Caenorhabditis elegans: one gene and its partners. The protein of the gene in region 4 interacts with the protein of the main gene of each other region in a pairwise test. Each region holds a gene or a part of one and is shown on either strand. Other genes may lie near its edges. The genes, in order: cat-4, tsct-1, dyc-1 and T07D4.2.

Region 1 (6,517 bases), on a different chromosome or scaffold from region 4:
AGAATGAAACATGCTGATTTTTTGAAAACTGTGAAAGCTGTTATGGATGAAGAGTTCTACTTTTGTAAACGATTGGAAGCTCTACAAGATATTCTACTGGAAACTGTTGAACGAGCAAATCCTCTACATCGACATGGCTCTGAAGATATTATAGTTGAGAGAATCGAAGAAGCAAAAGATATTCACGAATCTGAGTCTGACGATGAAGTTGGTACAACTTTTTCCAAATCAGCTAGTTCAGGAGGATTCTCCGTCGGTGGTTCGGCTTTATCCTCTAACGCGTCAGCTACCACTCTTCTTTCGATTGAAGTCAGATCAGAAGCCTTTTTACGACACGTGCTCCCATTGATCGCAGAATTCGGTCATCAATGTGCGCAACAACGGATTTCACGATTGCTCATTGCTCGGGCCAAAAATGCATCAGTGACAGAAGCTACTACACCTACCCAACTATCTGAATGCATTAAACTCGTTAAAGAATTTCAATCCAAGTGTGACAAGGAAGGATGGTATTCCACTCAGAATCAAAAAGTTGGAGGTCTTGGAAGATCTGTTAACAAGCTTTCTATGGATTACATTGAAAAATTCCATGCAGCTCGAAAGATTCGTATTGGAAATATGCTTGACACAGAACTTTGGAAAGCGACTGATGTTTCGATTGTGGATCAGAACATTGTCGACATGGCGATGGAAACGGGCCAATTAAGAAACACAAAGCGAATAGATGATGGTCCAATAAAAAAATCATTCAAAAGAACAGAAAGCGCTGTGACAATTGATTCAACAACATCTACTTCAAATCAAATTCAAGGTGTAATTGTTGATGAAGAGAACTATGTTGTTGTTGGGTTTGTTTCAAATTTTGGATTTAGGATTACGAATATTAATATTTTAATTTCAGATCATCAATAACAATGATCCAGCTCCTTTCTGACTACTGTGAAGCCATATCTGAAATGCCATCATTTTCCCAAGACTGGAATTCGCGAGTTGTGGAATTACTGAAAACATTTAACAGTCGGTGTTGTCAATTGATTTTAGGTGCAGGTGCCCTACAATTGGTTGGATTAAAGACTATATCTGTTCGAAATTTAGGTATTGCTCTAAAGTTTTACCGTAAAAAGTGTTCTTTTTTCCAGCACTCGCAGGTCGATCACTCGAGTTAGTATGCCGCTTCATTCCGATGGTTCATGATGAGATGGACAGAGTTCTTCCTGAAAATCGAAAAAGTCTGCTTCGGTACTTCAAGCAGGTTGAAAGTGAATACCGCGATCACGTCAACGAAATTGCTGCCAAATTAATAAGTGTAATAGCTCATTATACAACAAATTGTCTTGGAATGTGGGATGTGAAAGGAGTGATTCCATCGCCAGAATTTCAACAAATTTGTCGCCATATGCTGAAATTCCACAATGGACTGGTTGGCATCATGCCAAGAGATCAGATCGAGGCGTTGTTCCGTCAAGTACACGAAAACTTTAAAGCCAACTTACGAGAACACGTCACTGGAATGGGTATCACACCTCATGACCCTTTAAAATACGGGTAAGAATAAATTACTGAAATTTCAACTATAATGTACTATTTTCAGATATGTCACAAAAGATTACATGTTTTATCAACAAAATGTGAAAAACATGGAAAGTTGCCGTAATTTGGAGCTCGAGTCGCTTAATGACATTATGTTTGAATAGGACTTTTCTTTGTAAAATATTTATTTAATTTTCAATCTGGTTTATTTCTTGTGTATGATTGTGATTGTTTGACTAATTACGGTGGCTTTTATTTCACGCTTCTTCTGTAAACTTCCCCAATTCACTGGTCCTTCATTCCTAATTTTTTAGTTTGTGCTTCTGGGCTAGCTTTATCACTTTCATTTCCCAGTTAATTGTTTTTGTTTTTATTTATCTGGTATTTAGTAATTTATTGCATGTACAATAAAAGCATATTACAGTATCCAGGCAATGAACATGTTGTATGAATTTAAAAAGCTGAAGCATAAGATGTTAGTAGATTCACATGGAAAGTTATGAAAAGTTAGTAACAGTTAAAACCCAAAAAAACAAGTAAAAAAGGAAATGACTAGAATTTTTAGCGTTTGTTGATAAGATTAAGGAATTCTTCGCGAGTCTTTGGATCGTCACGGAATACTCCCAACATGCAGGATGTTGTGGTGGAAGCATTGATCTTTTGAACTCCTCTCATTACCATACACATGTGACTAGCTTCAATAACAACTGCAACTCCGGATGGTTGTACAGCTTGAACCATTGCGGTGGCAATTTGCTTTGTAAGACGTTCTTGGACTGAAATATTTGAACGTTTAGGTTAGGTTCCAATCAAAAATGTAATTTCTCAATTTACCTTGAAGTCTTCTGCTGAACATCTCGACTATTCTTGCCAACTTGGACAGACCAAGAACCTTCTTGTTTGGAATGTATCCAATATGAACTTTTCCCATAAATGGAACTAAATGATGCTCACAAAGGGAGAACATTTCAATATCTTTCACAATAACCATCTCATCGTGATCCTCGTCGAATACTGCCTCGTTGAGGAGCTCTGAAAAATGAAACTTTGAGCTTTAACGTTGTATTGCTATAACTGACCATCAAGTTGATCATCGTATCCCTTTGTGAATGCCATCATTGCTTTGGCAGCACGTTCTGGAGTTTTCAGAAGTCCCTGACGATTGATGTCTTCTCCTGAATTCCCAAAATCAGTCAACGTGGGAAAATGTATTTTGTTTTCATTTTTTCCCTTATAATCAACGGACACAACCTATTTTTTTCTGATTTATGTTATAGATATATCAATTGAAATCACAAGTTCCTGATGATGTGCTAGGGTACCTTGATTGCGTGATGTAATAGATTACAATTTGTCATGAGTCTTTAAATTAAAACAATTTTCGATCTTGATTTTTGATTTGAGAGTGGAATATATTGAACTGAACTTCCTTCCAGACAATAACAACTATCAGTTATAGATCATCGACTTTCAAAACATCTTGGTCAAATTTATATTTGGGAAAATATTTATCAATATTCTTTGAGTCACTGATAATGAATAAATGCTAAAACATTATAATCTCTAGAATGAATCAAAAAGTGTGTTGAAATGTTTATCGAAACCAAAGTTTTCCTAATTCTGCTGACGTAAACAGTTGACAGTACGTTTTCAGAACTCTATAATCTATTCTTAAACAGCTTATTTTAAATTTGTTGTTGATCGACTAATACTTTCCGAACCAAAGAATCACATGAACTCACCGACATGTTGAATGATGCTCTGATAGGCATTGCACATTGATTTCAAATGATCTTCCTTTGGAATCGTTCCGTTTCTTTTCTTCATCTCAACTTTATCGTCTTCGGATCCAACACTTGCGGCGTCAGATGACAAAAATCCGCTTTCGTTCTCAATTCTGGACATTTTGATATTATGATGTTGATAGAGTGGGTAAAGCCTGAAAACATTGATTGAGTAAGTGAGTGAAATAAGGTGATATTGAAAATGAGCCGTGGGTAAATCTTAAGAAAGCTGAGAAAGCGTAGGCGACAAAAAGAAAGGATAGACATTCAAATAATTGCCGGATGAAACCGAATATGTGCAATGTCCAAGCAAGAAAGAAGAAATTACGAAAAAAAAAGGTACAACACGTCATGTATTATGAAAGGTATTCTGGGAAAAAATAGGCAAAATGAAGGGACAGAAGGAAATCAATCTAGTCGAATGGATAGACTTCATCATCTTTTCCCACTTATGTGAAAAAATGAGAAAAAAAGAATAAGAAAATAGCAAAAAATCGAAAAAGAAACGGAAGACGTCGTCCCATACATCAATCGTTTTCCGCCATTCCTTCATGGCAGCACTTCTAGGTATTCAGGAAAATGTGGAGGAAGAATAATTTATTTATGCAAACAAAAGGAACATGTAAAAAGAAAATGAAACCGATTGATTAGGTGGATAGGCGCAACAAGAAAAGAAAAAGTGGACTGGTCTGAGGAGATACAGAGAGAAGGATCGTAAATCAGCGAGGAATGATATAGACCTTCACTCACGTGGACTTCTAGTTCACTATCAGTTTTGTTGCCGAAACTTTGGCAGATTAATATCTACAAGTTACTCTTTCATGCACTACAATCGAAAAAATTGAGAAACTTTATATTCAAAACGAAATTTGGAATTTATCAAACTTCACATATATTTCTCACGAAATTCATCAAATGGTCCTCCTGGGAAGTTATTTAAAAACAATAATAGGATCACATGTGGTAGAATATACTCCTCCTATTTTTAAAACTCATCACACCTAATAATATTACTCATCGAAACAACCAATCTGAAAAATAAACTAGATTCTGGCAAAAAAATTACTAATGAGTTTAGTACAACACAGAAACCGTGTTAAACTCTCATATATACTGCCAACAGCCACAAAAATAAAATACAATTTCTAATATTTCACCATGTCAAAAAAGTAGGACCTCAAATTTGGGAACGATTTCATTCAACAGTTTCGGTTTTCAAAAATTGTAAAATTTTAACTACTTTCCTTTCTAAGTCATCATCAGGTGGAAAAATGAGAAAGTAAAGAAAGAAAATGAAAAGAATTGAGGGGTCTAAAGAAGTACACTCACTTTCTTCTATTCTTCTACTTAACTACCTACATAAGAATTTCGTTGAAACAGTTAAAGCTAGTAGAAAGATCAAACCCACGCCTTTTTTTTCCCGGCAGACTCGATGTGTTTTGATGACATTCACACGAAATGACGAGAACGGTTCCAAAATCAGCTGAAGATGAGGGAAGAGGCGTTTCGAACTTGTAAATGTTTTCCTAGTTTTCTAGTTCTTTTTCATCAGATATCGTTTCTTATATTTGCGATTTCTGGGCTGATTGGGTACAAGTTGGGAGGAGGTGATGACGAATGAAAACAAGAAAACTTGAAATACTATTTTGTTATGATCAGGATTTTTTGGGTTATTCGAAGTCTCTCATAACTTTTGGTTCTTCAGAGTTAGAGATTGAGAATCAAAAAGAACTATTTGAAAAAACTGAGCTATTGTCAATATTCTTGAAAAGTAAAAAATTAAAATCGAAAGTTGTTACTGAAAAGTACTGCCAAATAATACCGTAACACTCGTAGAGGAAGTTCCCCGCAATTTATTAGGTTGAACTATAAATAAGATAAGAGCATAAGCAAAATGCCGCCGCTAATGATGTACTACCAATTGAAGCCGCAATTTATATGGAGTTTATAATCATTGCATGATAAATTGGTTCAGGAACTTTGAATTGTCACCTTTGAGATAAGATCGTGCACAAAAGGAGTTTGCGGGATTAATTAAGTGACGGCGATTACGTCAGAAACATAGAGAACAAGTAACATAGAGAGTGTCCTAAGGAATACGGTTTTCTGACTGGTGATGATTTAGTGAACATCATCTTGCACAATTTTTTAGACTAGAATGTTCAATGGCGCGGTTGAAAGAGTCAATAGATTATGAACTGGATTATGTGATTTGGAATTATTTATTTTCCTGATAAGAATCACTTCAAACTTTTATTACCGCAAGTTTGACTTTATTAGACCAAACTCTACAGGCTTACCGTATATTCTCTATTAGTGCTGCACTAATTTTTGGGTTTTTTTTTTGAATGCATCACTTTTAAAAACTGCAGTACTACTTTAGAATGCAGAACTAATTTTCGAGCGCCTCTGTTCAATTGAAGGTCATTAGCATTTAGTTACGAAAGGTCACCTTTTTGAGCATAAATTAATTAAGATTGTGGGTTTTCGTATTTCAATTATGTATGTAAATAAACAACGAATCTTGTACAATTATACAAAACACTCAACAAAATGTCAAAAATATTTTGACTGTTGATATAAAAAGAGGTGCATTTCAGAAAAACCCCGTTAAAAGCATCATAAATTAATAATCATATATATTAGGAAAACAAATAAACAGAAAGTATCCATCTTCTTCTCTTTTCTTATAGAATAACGATAAACTTTATATTACTTTAAACAATGGTCAACTATGTCAATTTATGTTACAATTTCCATCTGCAACATGCAACCTTTACAAATTTTTTTGCTGTTAACTTTTATTCAATTATAAAAACCAACAAGCCAATAACCAACTAGAAAATAGAATAACATAATTTATATATATATATATGTATAAAACTTATATTCCCTCGTATTGACGTGCCGGTGGCATTGGTTCCACTCCGTAAGTTCTCTCCGGGCATGGACAATATCCAGCATCTAGGCCTGGCATTCCATTTTCTCCTTTTTGTCCCGCTGGTCCAATTGGACCTGTTTGACCTTCTTTTCCCTGCAATCCGGCTTCTCCGCGAGTTCCAGGTTTTCCATTTTCTCCATCAACTCCTGGGTGTCCATTGTTACCAGCGTTTCCCGTTTCACCGACTGGTCCAGTAGGTCCAGGGTGACCAGATCCTCTCTGTCCATTCTTTCCTGGCAAGCCGGGTTTTCCAGCAGCCCCT
Region 2 (7,416 bases), on a different chromosome or scaffold from region 4:
GGAGGATAATACGGAGCGATTTGAAGAATGGGTAATTGCGTTTTTGACGTGTTTTTAAGGTCAATGTGTCTGATAGGGTATTTGAGAAGTAATGTGTTTACGACAAGGTGAAAAAGTAATAAAACCCCTTCAGTTTATTTCACTTCAAAGAAAAGAGAATTTCACTTTAAAAATCAGTGTTGCGAAAATAATAAAAATTCTAAATGCCTTTTAGTTACGCAAAAAAAGAAACGAAAGCAAAGAGTTCGTCTGAAACTCGATATTTTTTGGGTATTATTTTTTACTTGAAAGCCGCCCGCTTTTCAACGCCTTGCCAATTCTCCAGAGACTTTTCTAGCCACCTTTCAAAGTCTACTGACGCGCGCGCGCATTATCTCACGTGATTGCTTTGGATATTAAGATTTTAAATCTGGGTTTATTTATGTGAGATCACTCACCGCGGCTGACTTTTTTGTAGCACACGAATGCTGTCCGCCTCTTCTGCTCCGAGAATTGGAGCAGAGGTGACTGTTGTCGGCCGAGGGAATTTCTTTCGGACGGTGATCACATTGTTTTTGCTTGTTACGATCATCTTGTACTCGTCTTCTGGAGGATAATTTCCAAATTCTGAAAAAAATAAATTGTGTTTATTGTCCAGTTTATTTTTTTTTAATCAATAATTTTGAAAAAAGATTTTCACTGGTACTTCAACAACCTCAAACATTTTTTTAAAAACACGTACTAAAACACGTACTTCTATGCTCGGAATTTTGAACTGGTATCTAATAAATTTATTGATTTTCTTCTAAATTGATAAATTATTCGTTTTCAAGTAGTTAAACTAACCTCCCATTGCCGACCCAAATCTGGTATCAATCACTTTCCATCTGCCACGTGTAAACTCTCCTGGAACCGGAACAACTTGGAATTTCTTCTTCGGCTTGTCACAGTTTGCATTTGGAGGAACGACCTCAATCACAGATGCTTCATTGGAAGTAGTACTCATTATTATTGTGTTCTGTTGGAAAGCCTGAAAAGTTGAAAAAATAAGTAATAAATAGACAATAAAACATTTTAGCATTTTAGAAGTAGTGTATAAAACAAGAAAATCTGTACTTTCACAAACAAGAATTAAAATATACATTTGTTCTACTAAAGATAAATTGAAACTTTTAGATTTTTGGTAAAATTATGATGACTTATAACAGATTCAAATACTTTTTTTCAATTAACAGTAAGATTAACGGTTTTTAGTCGTTTGGACACATAGTTAATCAAGAAAAATTTGCATATATTTGAAAAGCGTATAATTACATCTTTGTACACATCGTTTAACTAATGCCATTAGAACCTATGAAATTAAAAAAAGTTGATGACTAATTAGCAAAATTTGATAACATTTTTGCGCCGTGGACAAGACAGATATGAACAAAAGTTACAACGATTTGACCAAAATAGATTTGAATTAATGTATTTTGGGAAACAAAACGTACGACATTTTTATATTAAAAAAAACATCTTTCGCCTTTAATTTGGTTAGGTGAGCAAATTAAAAATTGTTTTGAAGAAAAATGGCAAAGATAAGTTTCAAAAAATATGCTGGATTTTTTATCGCATTAAAAATCACAATCGTTGACTGATTACACTCAAGAACCCTTATTCGAAATTTCTGTTTCAAATTTGAACAAAAAACGAAAAGATAAATTGGTCGCAACATGCAGCAAATGATTGATGAACTGCTGTGGGAGACATGAATTGACACGTAATTTCAATTTTCTCGAAAAAGTGCTCGCGGTGCTGAGGAACAGCTGTACTTGCTCAAGTGTGATGGCAAGTGTGTCAAGTAAATAGACACGACGGCGCAACTTTTGGCACGGAAACTTTGGAGTTTTTTTTCTGTTTTTTTGTGTTACTTTGTCATCTGAGTAAACCCATGAGACTTTGTTTTTTTTTCAGGAAAGAAAGGAACGCTTAGTTTCTCTCTCTCTCTAAATGGTGCAGACAGTTATTGAATCATATTTTTTTAATAGTTTGAGAACGCTGTAATTGGAAAAGGAATTTATGAAAGTTTGAAGTACATCAAGGACAACTAACAACAGTTCAAGAAAGCCCAATAACTTTATGAAAGCACAGTGCAAAATCTGCAAGAACTTTTGTGACGACATATTTTCTTAACTTAAAAAAGCATTTATTTTTCAAGTTTTCCGCTTTGTGAAAAATTGTTGAAAACTGTTTTTTTTAATTTCAATGGCAGTGCTTTTTCTACTAGTTTGGAAGGAAAAAAAGAGAAAGCCAATTTTCGTAACTAGAAAAATGAAAAACTTGGTAGCTTTTCATACCTTTTTTCAAATTCTTAGAGCTTAAAACTCAAGTCTTACAAATAATCCTACATAAACCTTTGCCAAAAAAGCTAACGTTCAATGAATATGCAACAAGAAGTCAGCTTTTTGCAAGAAGAAAAAAAAATAGATGAGCTAAGAAAAACGCGTATTTTCTCTAACAAAGCCACCTAGACATGGCGCAATAACGTCTATTTCAGATACAAATAATACGAGATTATGACTGTGACATTCCAGTGAATTGTAAGATTTCTGAGATTATATTTGAAGTCATTGTCAAAAAGAAAAATATATAATTCTTCTGAATTATTATTTCAGAGAGAAAGATTTTGAGGGAGTTTTAAACAAGACACTGCGATTTCTCGTTTTCAGTCACTAGAAATGTCACAGTTTATAAGAGCAAAATAGAAAACGAATGAAAAATTGAATGCTGTACATTTCTCTTGCTCTATACTGGCTGCTACCCCACTTTTTCAATCACACTGTACGCTTCTCTGTGTGCCCAGACAAAACCATTGAAAACTACTGCTCTGCATAGCCCGCAAAGCAGGAAAGCTATTTTTCAATCGCAAATAAAACGAAAAAAGCGCATGGGAGCGCGAGATAGAATGCAATCTTTTTTTGAAACTTCGATTCTGTAGTAATTATGCAAGTTGTGGTTGCAACAATGGTGCTCACAAAAGAGTTGCGAAGAGTAAATATGAAAAGGGCACATGAATAGCGATCAAATCAAATGACGAACTGATAAAAAAGATAATATGTAGTTGTCATGTGTACTCTTGAGCGAACGTGCAAAAGAAAATTGGACACATAACATTCTGAACTGGAGTTTGAAGGCGGAGAAGATCCAAAAAGGAAATTGTTTTTGAACAAATTAGCTTTGAAGCTTTCTCTATTATTCTTGCATGCAAGACTAATTTTCAATTGGTCCGTAGGGATGTAAGACTAGGCCTGTGGAGTGGGTCGCCCCATTTTTTGGGTCGGTCGGGTCGGGGTAGGAGTCGGAAATTCTAATATCATGAGAGTGGTTTTGTATCATTTGGCTCTATATGCTCTCCTCATTTTTCAAACAGAAGTTCAATTTAAATGTTACGCTTGGAAAAGAGCAGCACACCACACTTTTGGCTCATTGTTGATTGGTGTTTTTCATCGCGTAAAAACTGGAAATTTAATTGAATACTTTTGGCACTCGTATTCGGAGGGTCTCATTGACCTTTAACTTTGTTTTCTGCAAAAGTCTCACAATGTAGGTGTTTCAAATTACGTTGCATTTGATTTTTTAACGACATGAAAAAATTTCAAGATTATACTTGAAATTTATGTGTTCAAAAATGTTACTAGAATAAATTATTTTCAATTTTTGAAAGAAAATGTTCCACATTCTTTATACATATCTTTGTACATATGGCAACTAAACGTTTGCGAAATTCCTAACATTGAACAAGACAAATTATTTTCAAATTAAATTGATATGCTGTTGAAGGAAAAATACGTAAAAATAAGAAATTCTAATTTTAGTTATTGTTTATTCTTATATTTTATGAACGCAAAAAGCACTTGATTAAACAACAGAAATCAAAAAGTTAAAAAGAAAAGTTGCTGTTCAGACTGACGGGGGTACGGATAATTCATGCAAATCGGTGTCATTCTAAAAATCGATATGTGGAATTGAATCAGAAAGGAAATCGTCGAAAAAATTACAGTTGACTCACGATTTCTGTATTTTAGAGTTTGTTTCGCGGCAGTCACGCGTTTTACATTGGCGACGGTGAAGAAGCAAAACGAAAGGACAACAAAATTGCGTAGAGTTTCTCTTTCTCAACCAACCATCAAAAACGTTTAGATTTGGAAAACGTGCTGGAGATAAACAAAACACATACATAAACACGAGGTCATTGACAACGAAGAGCCGGTTGTTTGATCAGGCAGATCATAAGGAGACAAGGTCATGTGGTTTATCTTAAAAATGAACACTTACTGCGGCAAAGATGAACATTCTCAGTGACAGGATCCCTTGCTGCGGTCTCTTTTAGCTGTAACTACCCTGAAACTTTAAGTTATTTGTATCTTGTAAAACCAACGTTATTGACAATAGAGAGCAAAAAAAGTTGTGAAGATATAAACGCAAACCATAAGAAGGAGTAACGGTTCTGCTTTTTATTTGAGTAAAAAATTTTAAAAATTGAGGTTCCGCAGGAATCTTAAATTTAGGCCACTTGTCCGCGGAGCGACTGGAAAAAATATTATTATTTAATCACAACCTCATTTTGAAATTTTGTGTCGTTTATGAAAAATTCGCTAGTTTAATCTCAATTTCTACAACAGGGTAAAGTTGATAAAATTTTAGAATTTTGCTATATTGAGTATTTTTTTGTTAAACTTTTCAACCGTTAAAAAGAAAAAGAAAAAACACTTTTGTGAAATTTTCAAGAAGTTTCATCCTGAGAACAAATTTGCAAAGTTGAATGCAAAATTTGATTTTTTTTATCACTTTTAAACTTGCGTTGAACTTACGTGAAACTATCTTATATTAATGATTGATTGGTAAATTCACAAAAATTATGCCCCATGTTACAGATCTTGTGAAAATTAATTAATGTGTGAACACATATTTTTAAAGTTCAAGAAGTTTTTTAATTGAAATTGTGAACAAAACCACGTGATGCATTTGCGGACGCACAGAGAAATTTGATATTCACTAGGAACATTAAGTATGTTTATTTTTTCGTTTTTTTGTATGTTTTAAATATTCGCAACAAAAATTTCAATTGTTTTAATTATAACATTTATGATATTTGCAAAGTATTTCATCTGATTAAGAGTAAAAATAATTTCTGTTATTTTCAAATATCATAAATAAGAAAATAAATGAGAATGGCAAGATGAAATATGAGGAAAAACGGGTTTGTTGTAACATAAATAATGCTCATCGCACATGTGCAAATACATAAAATACGTAAACGATGAGATAAAAAAATTGAATTTCTCGAACGTCTCTATGTGTATCTAATCCGATAAACACTAGTTTTAGGGAGTTATGAGGATGTTTTTCGTCTTGTTTTCTATTTTATTTTTAAAGATTTTATTTTTAATTATAATTTTAAAGAATGTCAAAGTGTAGAAAAACCCAATCAACAAATGAGCAGAAAAATTAAATGAGCACTCAATGTCCTTTTTTGGAAGAGAGCAGATGGTAGTTAAAAGCTAAAAAGACGCGGAACCCTTTTTTTCAAATGTGTTCCTCTGTGACGGCTGGCTTTTATGGGTTGAATGAAAGAATGATGGTGTTAGGGTACCACCCGACACAAAACAAAACAGAGCTGTTCTGCAAGATCAAAATGACGTTTTTTCAAAAATATATGCCAATTTTCTTAAAACTAAAAAAGAACAAAACTGATACAAGAATTGAAATTCCCAATGGGGTAAAATTCGAATGGGATGAGAAGAGGAAATGGGCGGAGGAAGGGGGCAAAAACGTTAATGAAATTTTGTTTCAAAGTTTTGTTTGCCCAAGGCTATTTTCTACTTTTTACATTACTTCAAAAATTGTAATTTCAAAACAAAAGTGGACTGGAAAAAATTAAAAAATAAAAATATTCCAATGGCTGCGCTGCAAACAAACAATTGGATGCTTCCAGATTTTCCAAATTTGCTGAAAACAGAATCGACAGGTATTTTGGGCAAATCTTCCTGCACAAATTGGGAATTTAACCTTGGAGCTCAGAGAAAAATGATCTACATGCAAATGTATCTATATATATTATATATATATATATATATATCTAGAGAATTTATCAAAGTATTAATTTGGCAATGTTGAAAATAGGTAGAGAAAAATCACAATCCCAACTATTTTTTTTCGAATATGGGTGTAATTGTTCTTGGTATATATTGAATAACGTTTTACACTTTACAAGTACTATCTCTTACATAAAAAATAAAGGGGAAAATGATTAAGCTACATCAAAAGTTCGAGAAAAAGTAACTAGTGTAACAAGTACGGGCTGTGCAACAAATTATTCGAAAAAAACTGCATTCAACTAAACATATTCGATATTTATACATCACTTTAACAACTTCCTGTCTGTCCTCCAGATTATCTTACTTTGAAGAAAAAAGAGCAGCAGTCTACTAAAACAAAGCGAATGTTAAATAATTGAAAACTGTGTCACACTTCACTCAATGATTCGTGTTCCTTGTATGACACTTTTTATGGGGTAAAGTTTTTGTGATGAACACAGCATGACAAATAACAGATGTATGTACCATGTAGCCAATCCTATAGAAAGCAGACAGAAGGCCAAATGGAAACTAGGGTGACTAGAGAAGGTGTTATAACTTTATGCGAAACAATGAATCAGAATTCAGTGACGAGTGCAAACCAACTGATTTAATATTCTATTTTTGGGTTGATTGTGACAATAAACACGGAAAAATTGGAGAGAAATTTTAAAAATAGTAAGCATCATTTTCCGACTCAGAATGCAACATTTCTAGTGGGTGACAATCGCATGGTCACAGTACACATCACAGAAAAATTTAAATCTAAATTATTGAAAAACAAACATCTAATACAAGAATTATAGTGCAGCTCAAAAAGTTCTTCGAAAAACAAAACTCACTAGAAAAGTGAAACCTTTCAAAGCAATGACTGAAGAACACATTTCGGCCCTTTTTGTCTCGCTCTCCCGTCCACAATTTTTTTCTGCAAAAGTTTGGTTTCCGCTGTCGGATTCTCTAAATCCTAAGCATATATAAAGCTGTTCTGGCTGACGAGATTGAAAAAAATGAACAGCGCTGTTGGGAAAACAAAGAACAAAAGTTCAAAACGATACAGGGTTTGTTAATTTTAAATTTATTCCTCTATAAATCTTGAGTTATGATGTAATTAAAATCGAGAACAAGAATTAAATATAAATGTATTAGTTATGAAATCATATTAATTAAAAACATTTTACCGGTTTAAAACAATAAAATTACAATTGAGTTATACAATTTACAATGATGTAATTTACATTAAAATGAATCTACACCATTCGTTTCCTGTACCTTTAATTTTCTTTTTTGATATTTGTTAACGGCAGTGACTGGACGAGTC
Region 3 (7,190 bases), on a different chromosome or scaffold from region 4:
GCAGGAGGGGAATGAAGAAGCGGTATCTGAAGAGGGAGAGAAGGATCTGATGGAATGATGGCACATTGGCACGTTTTGCTAGTGTGTCGCACGCTCAATGTGCCAATGTGCCAATGCGAGAAAAAGAGCAATCGGTGTGCGCTTCGTTTTGAGTCGGGGTGTGCCTGTGGATCGGAAGAAGCAGCAAAAAAAATCGTTGAGTGAGTGAGGCGACAGCAATCCCAGCACTTCTCGACAGATAATGATCGATTTGTTGTTTTTGGAGAAGAATTATGACCAAAGCAAGGATCTTTGTTCACAGGTTGGGAGAGAAAATTGGAATCTTTCCCTAGAGAGAAATCGGCAATTTTTGCGTTAAAACATTCAAAGAGATGCTATTGTCTGTTGGGATTTTGCTTTAAATGGTTTCAAATAGCCTGTAGATGCTATAAGTAAACGCAAATCCCTACTCGGCAATTTTCCACCAACTTTAACAACTTTAGAAATGCCAAACGCAGAAGTTGCTAAAGTTGAGAAACAGTTCGATAAAGTTGACTAAAGCAGGCAAGCTTAGTAAAAAGTTGCAAAACGCTAAAGTTGGTTCTTAAGTTGCGACGAATTGCCGCAGGCGATTGTTCAGCAGAAGAAATACAAATTTTTTAATTATTTTTTTTAGGTATTCTCAAAAATGAAGACGGGGAAACTTTTCGAAGTTCTCTCTAAAAATGATACTTCTACTACACTTTTTTGGAAAGTTTCGTATCATCTTATTGAAATTGGGAATCCTTTTCTACATATAAAAATATTTTTTAAACACTTTTTAGCTTCCACAAAATTTAAATTTTGATTTGAAATTACTTTTTCAAAATGGGTTTTCTTGCAAGAAAAAAAATCGAAATTGTGAACAGCTTGTAAAAATCGATAAGTGTGTACTAATGGATATTATTTTAAAATTAATTTTTTGAGTTTGTATTTTTCTCTGAGAAAAATTTCAAAATTTTATTTTTTGTTCAAATTTCATTCGACTTACGGCTGGTTTAAAAGTGAAGAAAAAACATGTTAATCATGTTAATATAAAAAAGAAATCAATTAAAAAAAATTCAATTTTAAGGCGTTTCAATAATCCACACATAAGTCTCCCAAAAACCTTATTTTGCACTAAAAACGTCAGATATGCTGGGCACCAAAACTTGCAGCTACTTTTCATACTTTTCATACAAGGTCTGCGAACACGATACTTGAAAAAGTAAAAAAACTAGATTTTGAAAAGCAGACAACTGGTCTCCGCCAACACGATAAAGAACATGTATGTTTCGTTGATGAGCTCCGAAAAGTTTTCGCTGTCTGTCTGTTCAAAAACATGAAGAACATTGAGCACGTTATGTGAACCCAACAAAAACGTCTAGGATAGGCCGAGTGTAACCTGGAAGTGGAAGCCAGTGAATGATGTTGTGTAATTTACGATGGCAGAAAACAATGTTATTGATTTTTGTTCTTTTTTTTAAGCCAAAATATTGCTTTTTTGATCCATACATTTTATTTTCTTGCTTTCAAATGAAGTATAATCTGTGAAAATACTTAGGATTGCATGGTAATTCTGATTATCATTTGTTCTTTCTTCGATAATTTTTGTTCAAAACGTTTGAAAAATACTTATTGCCACAAAAAATTTGAATGAGTCTTAGAGCTTATTATCATCTTAAATCACGAAATCTTCAGCAAGGTCTGTAGTTTTTTAAATGAAAATTGCATTTTCTTGATAGTAGAAAAATGTTTGGGTAGTGTGGACAAGTGTGTAGACAATTCAATTTTTCAAATTGAGGGGCATTTACAGAATTACAAGAGTAGTATCGCCAATATGAAAAAAAAATTTTTGAGTCGGATAATATTCTAAATTGTGAACAAAATCAGTTTTTCCGCCACTTCTCGAAAATGGGAAGTTTCGGAAATGTAACACCTGTGGGAACTGATTAACAACGCGTTGGGAAATTGTATAGTGATTAAACATCGGTATTCATTTCTATAAATATTATTCAAAAAAAATTCATGTAATACATACTTAATTGAAAACCACATAAATTTTCAAATTCGATAGTTTCACCATATACAAAAAATTCAACATTTTAACTTTTTCGACGCTCTTTCTAAAAAAAAATTTGATCACAGTACTACTTCAATAATAATAATAATAATATTGAAAATAATGACTAACCTTTTTAGAACACTTAAATACATTGCATTTAAATGTGTTACTAGCTCCATCCCGTGCAATGTAGGAAAATATTTGAAGATCTTGAGAATCATGTGACACGTAGAATATCCTTCAAAATTTTTACAATAACAATTTTACAGAAATTTAACAATACCTGTATATTGGGTGAAACATGACAAGTAATTTAGATTCATCCCAAGAGAGACCTTTCTCTTTCTGTTTCTTCCGCTGAAGAACAACTTTGACACCATCGACGGATACGGTAATGTCGACCGGGCGTTTTTTGATACCACGAGCTTTGAATTCGTACTGAAAATGGTTTTATTCAATAATCAAGGAATTAGGAAAATAGATTTTCAAAAGCGTTTTCTTCAAACACTTCAATTTGGTTGTTTAAGAAAAAGTCAGTCAAAATCAACAAATATGACACGGTCAAATTCAAATTCACATCGATGATATGCTTGTTCAAATATTGATTGCTTATGTTTCCTTAATCAACAAAAAAAGTTTTAGATACGACTATAGGTTTTAGGTAAAAAAGTATCAGCTTTTTTGCAGTGTGGCAGATTATTCAATCAACGCCTAGCATTTACTGACTTTAATATTGATTGATTTAACAAACGAAAAAATTGTAGAGAAGAAAACACTAGCAAGTGTAGAATTTGTAAAAAATTCAATAAATTATGATCTTTCAAAGTATTACGATTCTATTTTCTACACTACTAATAATAATGTTGCAACCATGTAATTATACAAATTTTAGATTATACTACTAATTTTCAATTGCAAATTTCAGCTCATTTTGAATATATCTCTATTTGCGAGTTTTTATAAAAAAAACTCACTCGAACTCGTCGCATCGCCGCCACAATCTCGATTCTCGTCCCGGGTCTAGGAATTTCCATGCTTCCGACATACTGCAAAAACCCTTTTTGGATTAAATCCAGTAGTTTTGTTTTTGTTTTCTTTTTGAAAGAAAAAAAAAACTAAACTTCCCACTATGATTAAATTTGCAAACGCGTTAGGACCAAACTTGAAGACAATCTAATCTACACCCTCCGGGCTTTTCAGAATATTCAATGTTCGTTTAAACAAGATTAGCGTTGTACAAACATTCGAATACATCTTTTCACAAACCTTTGCTTCGAAATGAATACCATGCTGATAAGCGAGTTCGTTATGGAGTGGAATACGGCAGTCGTAGACATCGTCGGCGATGATATCGTACGGACCATGCTTTTTCCGCACAGGCATTATATCCTCACCTCTGTAAAATATGAAATAATGATGAAATGGTGGAAATGTTAGTAAAAAAGTATTAAAGAAAAACGGTTAGAGAAGTAAAACAAGATGTTAGATGGTTTCAGCAATAAAAAACATGGGTGTTTTGAAGAAAGTGAATTTTAAACAATAATCAAAAACAAAGTGGTATTAGACACTCGGCAAATCGCTGTTAGTACGGGAGGACGTATGTCGATTACAAATTCCTTGTTATAAACATAACATGTTTAAAAAAACTGAATGAATGTCAATTTTAATAAAGTACAGAGCCTCTGGTTTGTAAATGTTTTTTATTAATAATATTACTGGATTGCGTTTCCGTAATAATACATCTTTTTTGCACTTTCTACTTGACCGAAATGTTTTCGTGCAGATGAAAATAATGAAAATTAAAATATTTACATGATACTACGCAAGACAACATTTTATCAGAAAGAAAATTTGGACTTTAAAACTATTTTCACGCAGAAAAGGCCATGAGGTTTCAAAACCAATTTTTTGTTAGGTTAAGATAGGGCTGGTAATCCAGAGGACTGGCCTTTCCGAATGTACTGATTTTCGGACAATCGGGCGTTCGGTTTTGAACATTCGTGGATTTATGGGAGCGTATATCCCGACATTTTTTTGTGTTCCGCGTCTCATTGTGATAATGCGTGCGTTTCTATAGTAAGCAGCGGAACCCAGAAAATGTCAGGATGTAAGCTCCCCTAATTCCTGTGATAAAAAAAATTTCCACCTTATTTTGCCACCCATGGTGACTCCATGTGGGCGGACGTCCAGATGGCCAGCCCTAGGTGGAAAAATAACAAAAGTTGAAGTAGTGCCAGAATGTTATTTATGCTGAAAATCAGCAGAAAAAGAGATAACATTTTCAACAATTTTCCGAATGTATTGATATTTTAGTCCATGTTTTAGGTACACTATTAGAAATTCATTTTAAAAATTACTATGCTTTCAACTGTAAATTAACAAAGATTTTTTGTGCACTTTGAAGAAAATTGTTAGTTTCATATTCTGACTTTTCAGCCCCTAAACAACTTTCCTACTGATGCTACTCCGTTTCTAAATGGACAATAAACACTTGTTAAACATTTCTGAAAAAAAACGCTCACTCAAAACCGTATCAAACCTTCAACTGCATATCGAGTATATCAGCTACCATGAGCCAGTATACTACGAAGCAATTGTCCGATATCAGGACAATTTGGATATCGTATTGAAACTGGTGGTGACGTTGGAAAACGTTGGGTGAAGAGGTGAGGTTCGCTGAAAACTCAGTGATTAAGCTGCTAAAAATGACAAAAAGGGCACACTATGAAAAAAGAGCAAACGAGGAAAAATAATTGAGTGATGATGAGAAATGATGAGGAACAATGGGCCAAGTAGATGGGGGAGAGAGGAAATGAAAGAAGAAATGAATAACTCATGCGGCAACGCAATTTTAAACACTAAAACCAAATATTTTTGCTTCTGATCATTTTCCTGGAGGAAAAACGGATAAGGGAGTATTGAACAAAAGAGCAAATGCAGAGAAAAGTGTAGGTAGTGTAGCTAAAAGGACTTTTAAGGAAAGTGGACTGACCAAAAGTCCGTCCGCAAATTGAATATGAGAATGGAAACAGGAGGAAAACGGAAGCCGATGTTAAGAAGGAGGGAAAGAAGTTTAGGATGATGGGGGGGGGGGGGGGGGGGGGGACAGAAGAAATAGAAGAAGTTGCGAGCCGAACAAAACTGGAAATTGGTTGGTTGGGAGACCGATGAGCGAGGTTCCCTGGAGACGTTTTCAAATAGGAATATAAAGATTGAAGATGTGTTGAGAGAAAAAAATAAAATAAAAACGCAAAAAAAGAGGAGGGGCGCCTACAAAACGGCTACAAATATGATTGTCAGTGCGGGGGAAAGATATTTCTACTTTCATGGATTTGAAATGAATAAATGTAATGTTATATATATTATACAATACAAAACTTGTGTTACTGTATTTTTCAAGTAGTTCCATGCTTTCATATGAATTTTTAAAATTACCATTATTACTAACACAGCACGTGATGGCAAGCGGTCTCATTACGATTTGATTTACAAAAAAGGCGACGTCAGCACACCTTCAAAAATGCCAAAAAAATCTGTCGAGAAGTCTGCGTCTAGATCCCCGCACATTCCGTAGATCTACGTAGATCAAACCAAAATGGGACACTCTGACACCAAGTGACACAACTCTTATAAACTCGTTTCTCTGATTGATTAGTTGAAAAAAGCTGATAGTATTCACTACAAAAGCAATGATACAAGGAAAATTAGTGCAATATCAAACATTTCGGATTGGTACAAGTAGAATGGCATACCAAACCATTATCGCAATGCATCTAAAAATAATTCAAAAAAAAATTAATGTCAGTTGAATTTCCAACATTGTGACAAAAAATGTGGTGTTAATTATTTTACGTGGTTTCGTATACTGAAAAACTGTATTTATTTACATGTTGATGTCAATGTGAAACATGATAAAAACAAAAAAAAAGCTTCACTATTTAGGAAAACTATATGAATTAAAAAATTACACATAGTTTGCGATTGGGAAACAAATTTCAAAAAAAAGGAAACCATACTTTTTTTTAGATATTGGCAGTAGCATAATGCACTAGAGCAAATATACGAAGTTATATTCTAGAAATTTGAAAGAAACGCAACAAAAATCAAGATGAAAGCATGCAAGTTTTGCTCTTTATATATCGTCTCATCACCCGTTCTTCTGCGACATTGGAAGCAATTATCCACACTATCACTCAGTTCCTAATCGATTTGAAAATAGAAAAAAAAATCGGAAAATGGAGGACAAAACAGGGGCAAAAAGAGAAAAGCGGTCGGCGGGGAAAAGAAAACGAAGAAGCGGTTGCGTGTGTGCCGTACTCTCTCATCGTCTTGTCTTGCGCAATTAGTTGTGATTTTAGGAAGCATGCGTGTGCATGTATGGGTGCACTTGTAGCTGATTGACTTATGCGCATCTCCTTCTTTGATAGAATTGCCGAGTAGAAGAGTTTAGATTTGTTGGAGTGATGGAGAGGAGTCACCGCTCCTCCTCATCCTATTCCTCCACATCTTCTTTTTTATTGTGACTGACTTTGTCGGGAGCCTTGCTCCAAAAACTTACTCTATCTTACTCTATCTACCACATCTTCGTCTTCTTGCGTTGGCCTTTTTCCGCCAACATTTTTGATGTAATGTGTCTTCGGAAGGCGTCTGAATAGAAAACGAAGCAGAGTTGCATGTTTTTCGGCAGTTCTTGGATTAACTTTTGTGGATTGGAATGTTTGTCAGAATTAGATGTGGAACCATCAACTTCAAAAACATTTGGGCCAAGATCATGTTGTGTAATTTAAAAATAACAAAATTATACTTATACTGAAAGAGTTCCAGTTGTGATAGCCAAATTCAAAATAGTCTAGCCCTGCATTGTAAGTACATATAATACGATGAGGCCAGGATAGACCTTTAGTTTTCAGTTTTTGCAGCGTCAATGTTATATATCATATTTAAAAAAATGTTACAGTTTGACACCAGAATTTTAATTTTCAGAAAACGGTTAATTGTGCAAATACCTATTACAATCTAAATGAATCAAATATTGAGGGTATTTATATTTTATTAAACATTGAAGGTTAAGCACCAAAATCTGAGGCTTTTATTTTTTAGACCCAAAATTGCACAAAAATTATCGAAT
Region 4 (9,428 bases):
TACCCAAAATTATTATTCGGACACGGAACAATTCAATCGATGGATTCATAAAAATGTTGCAGCCATCTGTTCATCCTCTCCGTGTTTTGCTCACCCCCTTCCAAAATGTTCCTCGTCTCTTTCTATTTTAAAAGCATTCGGCCACAGTTTCAGCGACGAAAACAAGGTTTTTGTGGGGATGTGCCGACAAAAAGACAGCTGCCTGGGAGTGCTTGATTTATTGTGGAAAGGTTAATCGAGAAGAAAAGGCTGATAGAGGTGTACGGAAAGAAAACGGAAATCAAGAAAAATGAATGTGTGATCAGGAATCATTCGGATGCATTTTAGATTTAAACTTAAGGTAATGGAGTCATAATTAAAATCCTGGAAAAAAACTCCCGAGGTTCACTAATATTTAACGGACCAATCATCAAGTACACATTTCAAGAATCATCATCAATAAAAATAAAATATTGAGACATATTTACACCACCCTCAATATTAAAAAGCACGAGATATTTCAGATTACTGCGGGTCTAGGAATAGTATTTTTAATTTTCGATGTTTAAAATAATCTCAATTCTTCATATTTCTCAGTTCTCCTTTATCTCAAAAATTCATTTGGTTTTTTTATAATAGGTAAATTACATGTGTTCTAGGGACTGCATATTTAAAAAATTTTTAATTTTAATTACAGCTTTAAATTACTAGTAATGACCAAAATTGCTGTCTGCTTACGTGCCTACAAAGTGTACCTCGCCTTTATAATAACCGAAGACTTATTTGTCGTAGAGAAGATTTATTTGAGCGGAGCCACATTGCACCGGATGCCTTTTTCGTGGAAGGCATACAGTTTTGGCATTTGGGTGCAACTTTCTGACAATTTTTGCCCCTGAGAAACGTGCGCAATCTACTTCCTTCTAAAAACTAACCAAATTGTTTTAACAGCTTTCATGAAGTTTCCCCTAAATGCTATCCCTTTTATCTGAAATTCATAATTGGCTCAGCTTTACCAGCTTTCCAAATATTTCTGGCTTTGACGCACTTTAAATATATTATTTCATTAAATCCTAAATATAAAGTTCACTAGTTTTGTCAAGAACACATCCAAACAACTCGGTTCCTGTGTACTATTGCATCTTGTGACCTACAAACTAGTCAAGGATCTTTGAATTTTTACCATAAGTACCCTTCAATAATATCTCCCAGCTCCACCAATTCAATCAAGTTCAAGATTTCAAATTGATTGATGTCGACAAATTAATTGAGAGTACAACTCGATCCGCCCTCATCAAATCCTAATCCATCACTCGTAATACATCGACCTTCTTCATCAGATCTTCCCTGTTTTTTGTGCACCACTCATCATTATTATCTCTTTCCACCAGACTCTTCTCTTTCAGTCGACTCTTCGGCTCAACTTTGATCCCTTATTGTGACCCGTTGTGGGGTGTTAAAAAAGTTTATTGATGAGTTATGACAAGTCTTTGTGGTGAGACTGAGAACGATGAGGTGGGGGAGGAAGGTATGAAGGTGGAGCCATTGTGTGCACAAAGTGGTTGCTACTGGTGGTGAGTAAATCAACACCTGATGAGCTGTTCAAAAAACAGAAGCAGAAGAAGAACCAGTCACTTTACTCTTTGCAATGTTTTCAGCTTTGCTTTCTTATTTCTATGATACTAGTATTACGTTAGTTTCGCATTATATTTTTTCAGAATTTTAGCTTGAATTTGTTCACTTATAATTCGCATATCACTACATATAACTTGAAATAGAAATGGAAATAGTTAATAAGATAATGATGGAAAGATCAATTGAATGACTAAAAATAAAACAATTAGAACTTCTGAATGAGTTTAGAGGTAGATTATTGGCTACTGGACCTTCGTAACAGTATCTATTTGTAAATACTTATAGTAGTTTTTGTAATTAGTCTTTACTTATACTAGGGCAATACAAAAATATATTCTGAATCGCTACAGTTTGGATGAAATCTCAATAAAAACTAGGCTCCAATTTTTAACCTTTTCCAAGTGTTCAGAAACTTTATTTCTACAGTTTAGAGTTTACTTATATTTTCCTATTCCACTGCATTAATTTTCTCATAATAGAACATGTGAGTAGATAATTTCTATGTGATTTATGTGATACGTTTGGCATATGTTGTACTTTTTCTCAGTTGCACACTTATCAGCTTGTGACCTGGTGGCACTCAACCCTTGCCGTCTCTCGAGATACATTGTACCGCAATAAAGATTTGAAAAACAATACGACATTAGCAAGAGCTGGTCCAAACTTGTGCAAGGTATGAGTGGCGTTTCTATTGAGAAAACACGGTCTACTGTATTTTAAATATCTTGATAAATGTTATTTGCTCTGTTAGTATAAACTTTACCAATTATGTCATTGCCAACAGCTATATTCAACTACGTCACGAATCCTATGTCTCACTTCTTTGCAACAAAAACCCTTGATCTTTTTAATCACATCTTTAAATGAGAGTTGATCTCATTAAACTACTCATTTGCTCAAGAAAATTCTGCACTCAATGCTGAATTGCTTTGTCCGTGTTTAAGTACCTAATTCCATGATCCAGACACATCTTATCTCATTCCGAACATTCCCGAACTTTCGTGTCATCCTTCACTTCACTTTGTCACTTCTCAAAAAGTTGTCGTTTCTTCTTGCTTGTCGACCCAAAAAATCATCGAGATTTTTGCAGGAATGCTGAGTCCTGCATTGCTCAAAGTGTCACTCAATCGAAGGTTCGTCAATGATTTTTTGTAGCTGCACTCATTGTTTGTTTTATGTTTCAATCTTTGTGTTTTCAGAAGCTCCGCTCCTGTACCACAAGATGAGGTGAGCCAATTGGTATTGAAGAAGGATAGAACTCTGATCAAATGGAAAAAAGAGGAAGAAGGGGAGGGGGTTAAGATGGATAAGATGGAAATGCTGGAGGGAAGAAGAAGATGGAAGGTTTCATTGGCGGGTACCTTTGAGAACCATTCCCGTGCTTTGGTCACTTGTCCTGATTTTTTCTTCACTACAACCTGATTTTATGGAGCTATATTCTCAAACAGAAGTTGATAGATAAAGTGTATCACCATTCCGTTTAAAAACTGTATTTGTAAAAGATTTATGTCTCAGTTCCTTAACATTTTTGGTAGTAGTCCTCGAACCTCGAAGCTACAAATAATAATTTGCTCTATTTATATGATACTTCCACTTCAAAACATTCATATTTTAACATAATATATTTATTTCAGAAAATGATGTTCCATTCGCGAAACCGGGCTGCATCATATTTGCAGCCGATGATAGAAGATCAGGAATTGATTGGATTCAACAGAGATAGAAGTGAGTTCATAATTTCTTTTTGCCTCTCTCCCGATTCTCGTAAAAAATGAGAATAAACAGCAAAATGTGTAGTAAAGGTTGAATAACGTGTGAATACCACGATGGCAGCTTCAATGTTCTTCTTTTAAAATAAGTTATTAACTTTATAAAAAAAACCAGAGAACAATTCAGATTGATTCTCAGAAAAAAAAGAATACTTCCGTCTATTTCTAAGTTGTCATAACTATCTTTATCAGGAAGAAGTTCCGGCTCAATAATCGTCGACAGTTTTGAACTCGGAAATGCTTCGCCAAGTCGCCGCGGTTCAATTGCATCTGGCATTCCAATGGACAAAAAAACCCGACGGAAGCTGTCAAATCCGGTAGGTTTTCTATGTTGTTAGCTCCCATCAACAATTGGAAAAACAAAATGAAAGATAAAATGATAAATGCGTTCGAGCATGATACCAATCTGATGAAAAGAAGAAACAATCTATCTCATATTGAGTCGGCATACCAACTGACGTTGGAGTCTCTACTTTTTTGATTTAAACGAAAAAAAGAAAGAAAAGATATCTGAGAGCCGATGATGGTCGTCTTTGATTCACTATTCATCAGATGATCCACTGACGAACATTTTCTCACCTTTCCCTGAGATGTGCCAGCCTATCAGTTTCATTTTTACCGAGTTACCGACCTTTTTTTTTCGTAATTTTTAGTTGCTTTTCGGGGATTTTTTTGACTACGAAATTTTCTCAGTAATTTTTTATTTTTCTTCCTTTGAAGAAAACATTTTGCTCGATTTCCATTGTTGCTCGAGGTTATTCACAGTTTTCTGAATGTGAAAAATTATGAGAAAACGCGGCTCCCATTCTTTCAGACTTTCTCTCAAACCTTCAGTATTTTGAAACATTTCAAAAACTCGCAGAGCATTCGTATTATGGTAACTTGTCCAGGCGACCGGCAGTTAGTTTCATATTCGTCCAATCTTTCCAATCTAGTTTCAGCCGAAAACCACTGCTTTCCCAAGTATACATATATTTAAAAAATAAGAAAAGAGAACTAACTATTAACAGAAAAAGAACGGGTAACTGAATATCCTTCTGCATTTAGTTTGATGTATCCTTCAAAAAGATAAGGAACAAAAAGTGACCAGCACATACATATATCGGATGTCTCGTTTGCAACTTTTGGCCTCCCATCCCATTTCCTGTCACCTCGTGACCTCATCGTTAGATCGAAAACCATTTGAGTGCAGTCAATGTTTTTGACACACTTCAGATACTCGCCATAAATCTTTTGAATCTTACTTCTCCATTCAATCTTTTCGGCTCTATTTCTTCATTTGTTTCTTTCTTATCAATTGTTCACACAGCCTGAAAATGTTCTCCAAGTCGAGCAATCGGTTCGGAACAACTTCTATATTTGGGGATCAGTCTATTAAAGATGAATACCGTAACCGACAGAGACGTCTTTCTCTGATTGGTGGACCTATAAGTGGAACATCTCCAAATCGACGAGAATCACTTGTTCGAGAGTTAAGAACTGTAAGTTCAAAGAGTCTTTAGTCGCCAGCTGTTGTCAGTTCAAGCTTGTTAACAACAAATTACATGGGGGGCCAACATTTGTCAAAAAATTGCTTCCATTTTGTTATTAGTACGAACAGAAATTGAAAAAAAGAAGTAAAAAACTTGAGTCTCAATTTCCTGATTTATTTAGTTCTACCACTAATACTTCAATGTATTTCCTAAGGATACACAGAAAATCTCAAGATTCTATAAAAAGTTGGTATTCAGAGACTAAAATTCATAAAAGACCGGTACGTTTTTTGCATGCCGTTTGGCCCAGTTTGTGTTTTAAACCCTATGTATAGCAATGTTTATTTTTAATGCTATATTTTCACAGTATAATAATTTGAAAATTTTAATTGTATTGTTATATCCGGTCAAAGGTTGACAACAGCCACACAAGCCATGTGTTTAATGTCGTTAACAACAAGATGAATGGGAAATTAATTGCTCCGCAAGCTTCTCCTTCAGAACAATACATTTATTTTCAGGTATCTCTTCATCAATACACAGAAGATCCAACACTTGCATGGGAAATGCTGAAAGAAAAAAGACCAGTGAAACCAGTTCGTCAGATGAGACTTGATACTCCAGTAAAACCAGATCATGTGAGATTTGTATGTATTGGATGTACACATGGAGAACAATTTGATATATCAAAACTCCCACCTGGAGATGTTCTCCTCGTGGCTGGAGACTTCACATCATGCGGTCTTCCAAATGAAGTTCACAATTTTAATAAGTTACTTGGAAAACTGAAATACTCTTACAAAGTGGTGATAGGTGGAAATCACGAATGCACATTTGACGACACATTTTTGAAATTGAGTAAGTTCAACTCCAATAAACCATTAACGATCAATCACCACAACAAAATTTGCAGAACAAGAGTCTGAACCAAAAGAAATGGCACTGAAACAAGCATTGTTATCAGCAATTCATTCTGATTCAAAGGGTGGAATTTCAGCGAAAGTAAGCATGATTTCAATTTATGAAAGTATACAATTTTTTGTAGGATTTGTTATCAAATGCAATTTATTTGGAGGATAATGTAATCGAACTGTTTGGAATCACAATTTATGGAACGCCATGGTAAGGATTGCAAGTTTTCTGAAAAAATTGTGGTAGATTCAAGTCGAAATTTGAAACAATTGTCACCTTCGACAAGTATTATCATTATATATTTTGTAGATCAATAAAAAATATAAGTTCGAATTGAATATTCTTTCTCACAGCATAATTCTATGAGTTCCATATTGAACCCATTGTATCAAAGCACAATTTCAAAAATTGCAGGCAACCAAAAGTAGACAATTGGGCATTCAATCTCTCTCGTGGACAACAACTATTGGACAAATGGAACCTGATCCCGGCGGGCGTTGACGTGCTTTTAACTCATACACCTCCACTTGGTAAGTTCAAAGTACCACAAATAGTAAAACACAAATTTTGTGCAGGACACGGCGATATGATGAACAATGGACAGAGAATGGGATGTGCCGAGTTGTTGAACACAGTTTTCAAGCGGGTTCGACCAAAGTATCACGTTTTTGGACACATTCATGAGGGCTACGGATGCACAACTGATGGATATACAAAGTTCATTAACTGCTGCATGTGTAATGAAAATTTGGATTTAAAGGTGATCATTCGTGAATTTTGACTTATTGAGAAAAATTGGGCATGACTCTGGGACGACTTTATTCAAGCAGCACACAAATTTAGACTATCCATGATTATTAAATTTGACAATTTCATCGTTAAAAATTTTCAGAACGAGCCAGTAATATTCGATATCCCAGTGCACCCTCACACCAAACAATTCTACATTCAAAATGTGAAGAAAATTCATAAAAGATTCCAAAAGAAGAAATAAATTAAATTCCTCTCACTGTCACCTCTGTGTCATTTTGTAGTTATAATTATACCACCACTTTTTAATTTTTTTTGCTCTTTTTCCACACCACGACCATCATCATCTATTTTTCTCACTCATTGAGCCCTCCTCCAACCCCATAAGAACAAAATAATATCCCATCCGGAAATGAGTCTTTATGAACTCGATGCGCAGTCAACAGCACCACAAAAAGAGCAAGAGAAGGTTGATTGTGCTTCTGCTGCGACAGCTTCTGCAACTGCTTCTTCTCGTCTTCCAATTCTTCTTCTTTCACCAAAATTGCTCCCGCTAACCAGCAATAAAACATTCCAATTTGTGAGCCTCTTTCGAGTCAAACATTATGAAATTCAATACCAAATTATGCTGCAACCTCCTCTTTTGCCCTCTGAAATCAGATATTGGCCATGTGTGGTGCGGTTCCGGCAGTGCCGGCTTCTTGCTCCACACAGACAAATCTCTTTTGTTATTCATCGATGTCTTTTCTCAGAGATATCATCAACATTAGACTTTTTTCGATTTTACTGAAATTCATTATTTCTAGACCAGAAATATCTGAAACAGGGTGAAATCTAGTCAGAATGATTTCCACCCAGAGTTGTTTCATATAGTCTGTAATTTTTTAGATACAATATTTTTCTTACGTCAGACAGTATCCACCGTGTCAGTTGAGAATACACATAGGTTTTAGTTTTAAATCACCACAAAAGCTAACAAGCGCCACATTCAGTTGCACGTAGAAATTAATCTCTGACCTAGAATATATGATAGAATAGAAAAAGGAACCAATCCATTAGGAATAATGAAAATTCTTTGGCAATTTTTTCCGAAATGAATCACAAATGAGAAATGACTCATAGTGAGATTTGAGATCATCTAAATTTAAAATAAAAGTTTCGGTTCTAGGTACCAAAAACAGGTGAAAAATGTGTTTCACCTCTAGCTAGGAATCGAAAGTTTGAGAGAACATTTCTGGAAAAATTATTTGAAGCAGTTTAAAAGTCTTCTAGGATTTTCTACAAAAATTTGTGATATTCTTTTCTTTTAGTGAAATGAAAAAAAACGGATTTATTATTTATAAATATCCGTAGTTATGCGGTTTAAAAAAATTTATGAAATTGACCCAGTACAGAACTTCAATTTCACTGGTAGAATCAAAGTTTGAGTAAACTCGGAACTTGTTGTTTACCCTTGAAAATGTTCAGCCTCCTCACGTATTCTTAAACTTTTCATCACAAACGTTCACATCACTCTCATAAAAAAATCTGAACTAAAAAACCATGTGGGCTGTTTGACAAGAAAACACATGAATAGATTACTCAAATATGGATCTTCGAATGTTTTAGACGACAAGGAAGAAACATTTCCTCTGAAAAGTTCGCATCTTTGTGCAAACAAGGCATGCGTTCAGAGATGTTTGATGTTAAAGTATTACCTTCTTTTATGGAAAAATATGTTACGATTCCCAGTTTGCATCCTAGTGACTTCAGAAGGAAAGCTTTGTTTTCTGAATATTCTATTATTGCTTTTTCAAAGGGGGTCATTTACATACACTCGTTCCCCTCGTCAATATCCAAATATGCGCTGCTTCTTTTTCGTTTTTGTTTTCGATTTTCATAAAATGATGGCATGTTCATTAAAATTTTGAGTTACGCTCTTAAATAAACGCCTCTTCAAATGGAAAACATTGGAAAACAGGAAAAGGGCTCAAAAGTTCACAATTTCGAACGCAATCCAAAATATTATTTTTATAGTTCGAAACATGAAATTCTTAATTTAAATGTGGAGTACGGCCAGTAACGAAATGATTAAAAACTATTCTTATGGTGCTAAAATTACAAACTCAGTTTTCACCGCTGTTCGACTCGAGAAAAAATTCTAAAATTCTAAAAAGTTTTTTAACGTTATTTAGCAATTTTAAAACTATAGAAAAAGTTCTTGACCATTCTCTCACTTGGCGTACTTCACTCTTAAGCCACTAATAACATTTATATTTTTCAATTTTTGAACTTTAGAGTACTCTAGCAATTAACTTGTTTTTCAGAAATTCAATTTTTCTCTCCCACTTTTCGCAAAGTTTAATTTTTCAAAATAATTGTACTCTCCGTTGCTATACGTTGGTTTCTGTTGTGGTTATTTCGACTTTAGAATAAAAATGCTCAAATAGGAAAAACAAACCACTTTTCCTACCAAAAAATTCTTCTGAATTCTTTATTCCAATTTCTTGTCATGTTCCGGTTATTAGGGAATGTGTTCAAAAAGTCAATTTCTTTTATTATTTAACCAGCCGTGGACCGCACCTCCGGCGCGCCCCCGACTTCTGGGGCTGAAAACTTATTTTTCTGAAACTACCGTAACCCTACAGTATTCCTACCGTACCACTATTGTACCACTACAGTACCCCGACTGTATCCCTACACTAACCCCAACTCACTATCCCCACAGAAGCCAAAACTTCACAGACTACAAAGACTACATTGACTACAAACTATGGACACACAGAATAAGCGCTTTATATATAGTAAATGATAAGTTCATGATAGTTTCATCAGCTAGTGAAAATCTGAAAAGTTTTTAGAAACCAAAGCTCAAAAATGTATTTTAAAAAATATGCAGCAATAAAAACATTCTTTAAAAAATGTTTGTTTGTTT

Evidence for each region.
Region 1: the proteins of T07D4.2 (region 4) and cat-4 interact in a two-hybrid assay, tested with the Caenorhabditis elegans proteins (one large-scale study listed by BioGRID).
Region 2: the proteins of T07D4.2 (region 4) and tsct-1 interact in a two-hybrid assay, tested with the Caenorhabditis elegans proteins (one large-scale study listed by BioGRID).
Region 3: the proteins of T07D4.2 (region 4) and dyc-1 interact in a two-hybrid assay, tested with the Caenorhabditis elegans proteins (one large-scale study listed by BioGRID).

What each region holds. Positions count from the first base shown.
Region 1 is NC_003283.11:10,561,832-10,568,348, reverse strand, and holds cat-4 (GTP cyclohydrolase 1), read right to left. Parts: upstream 3,470-6,517; 5' UTR 3,436-3,469; coding exon 3,273-3,435; intron 2,706-3,272; coding exon 2,610-2,705; intron 2,563-2,609; coding exon 2,365-2,562; intron 2,307-2,364; coding exon 2,092-2,306; 3' UTR 1,910-2,091; downstream 1-1,909. Other genes in the region: vps-54 (Vacuolar protein sorting-associated protein 54), read left to right, coding at 1-848, 902-1,095, 1,140-1,545, 1,592-1,694; col-152 (Nematode cuticle collagen N-terminal domain-containing protein), read right to left, coding at 6,199-6,517. UniProt on the Caenorhabditis elegans protein: Involved in serotonin and dopamine biosynthesis that affects movement, mating behavior, foraging behavior, and cell migration.
Region 2 is NC_003284.9:12,431,052-12,438,467, reverse strand, and holds the start of tsct-1 (Protein tsct-1), read right to left. Parts: upstream 4,372-7,416; 5' UTR 4,315-4,371; coding exon 4,297-4,314; intron 1,832-4,296; exon of another isoform or gene 1,765-1,831; intron 1,010-1,764; coding exon 826-1,009; intron 607-825; coding exon 438-606; intron 1-437. Other genes in the region: med-1 (GATA-type domain-containing protein), read right to left, coding at 7,335-7,416.
Region 3 is NC_003284.9:14,047,083-14,054,272, reverse strand, and holds the start of dyc-1 (Dystrophin-like protein 1), read right to left. Parts: upstream 4,739-7,190; 5' UTR 4,602-4,738; intron 4,446-4,601; exon of another isoform or gene 4,425-4,445; intron 3,459-4,424; 5' UTR 3,446-3,458; coding exon 3,329-3,445; intron 3,109-3,328; coding exon 3,037-3,108; intron 2,501-3,036; coding exon 2,346-2,500; intron 2,301-2,345; coding exon 2,192-2,300; intron 226-2,191; exon of another isoform or gene 1-225. UniProt on the Caenorhabditis elegans protein: Together with dys-1 and hlh-1, participates in a common muscular function.
Region 4 is NC_003280.10:8,867,216-8,876,643, reverse strand, and holds T07D4.2 (UPF0046 protein T07D4.2), read left to right. Parts: upstream 1-2,701; 5' UTR 2,702-2,703; coding exon 2,704-2,744; intron 2,745-2,810; coding exon 2,811-2,838; intron 2,839-3,245; coding exon 3,246-3,336; intron 3,337-3,572; coding exon 3,573-3,697; intron 3,698-4,689; exon of another isoform or gene 4,690-4,696; coding exon of another isoform or gene 4,697-4,861; intron 4,862-5,373; coding exon 5,374-5,710; intron 5,711-5,765; coding exon 5,766-5,854; intron 5,855-5,897; coding exon 5,898-5,974; intron 5,975-6,178; coding exon 6,179-6,294; intron 6,295-6,339; coding exon 6,340-6,524; intron 6,525-6,656; coding exon 6,657-6,758; 3' UTR 6,759-7,095; downstream 7,096-9,428.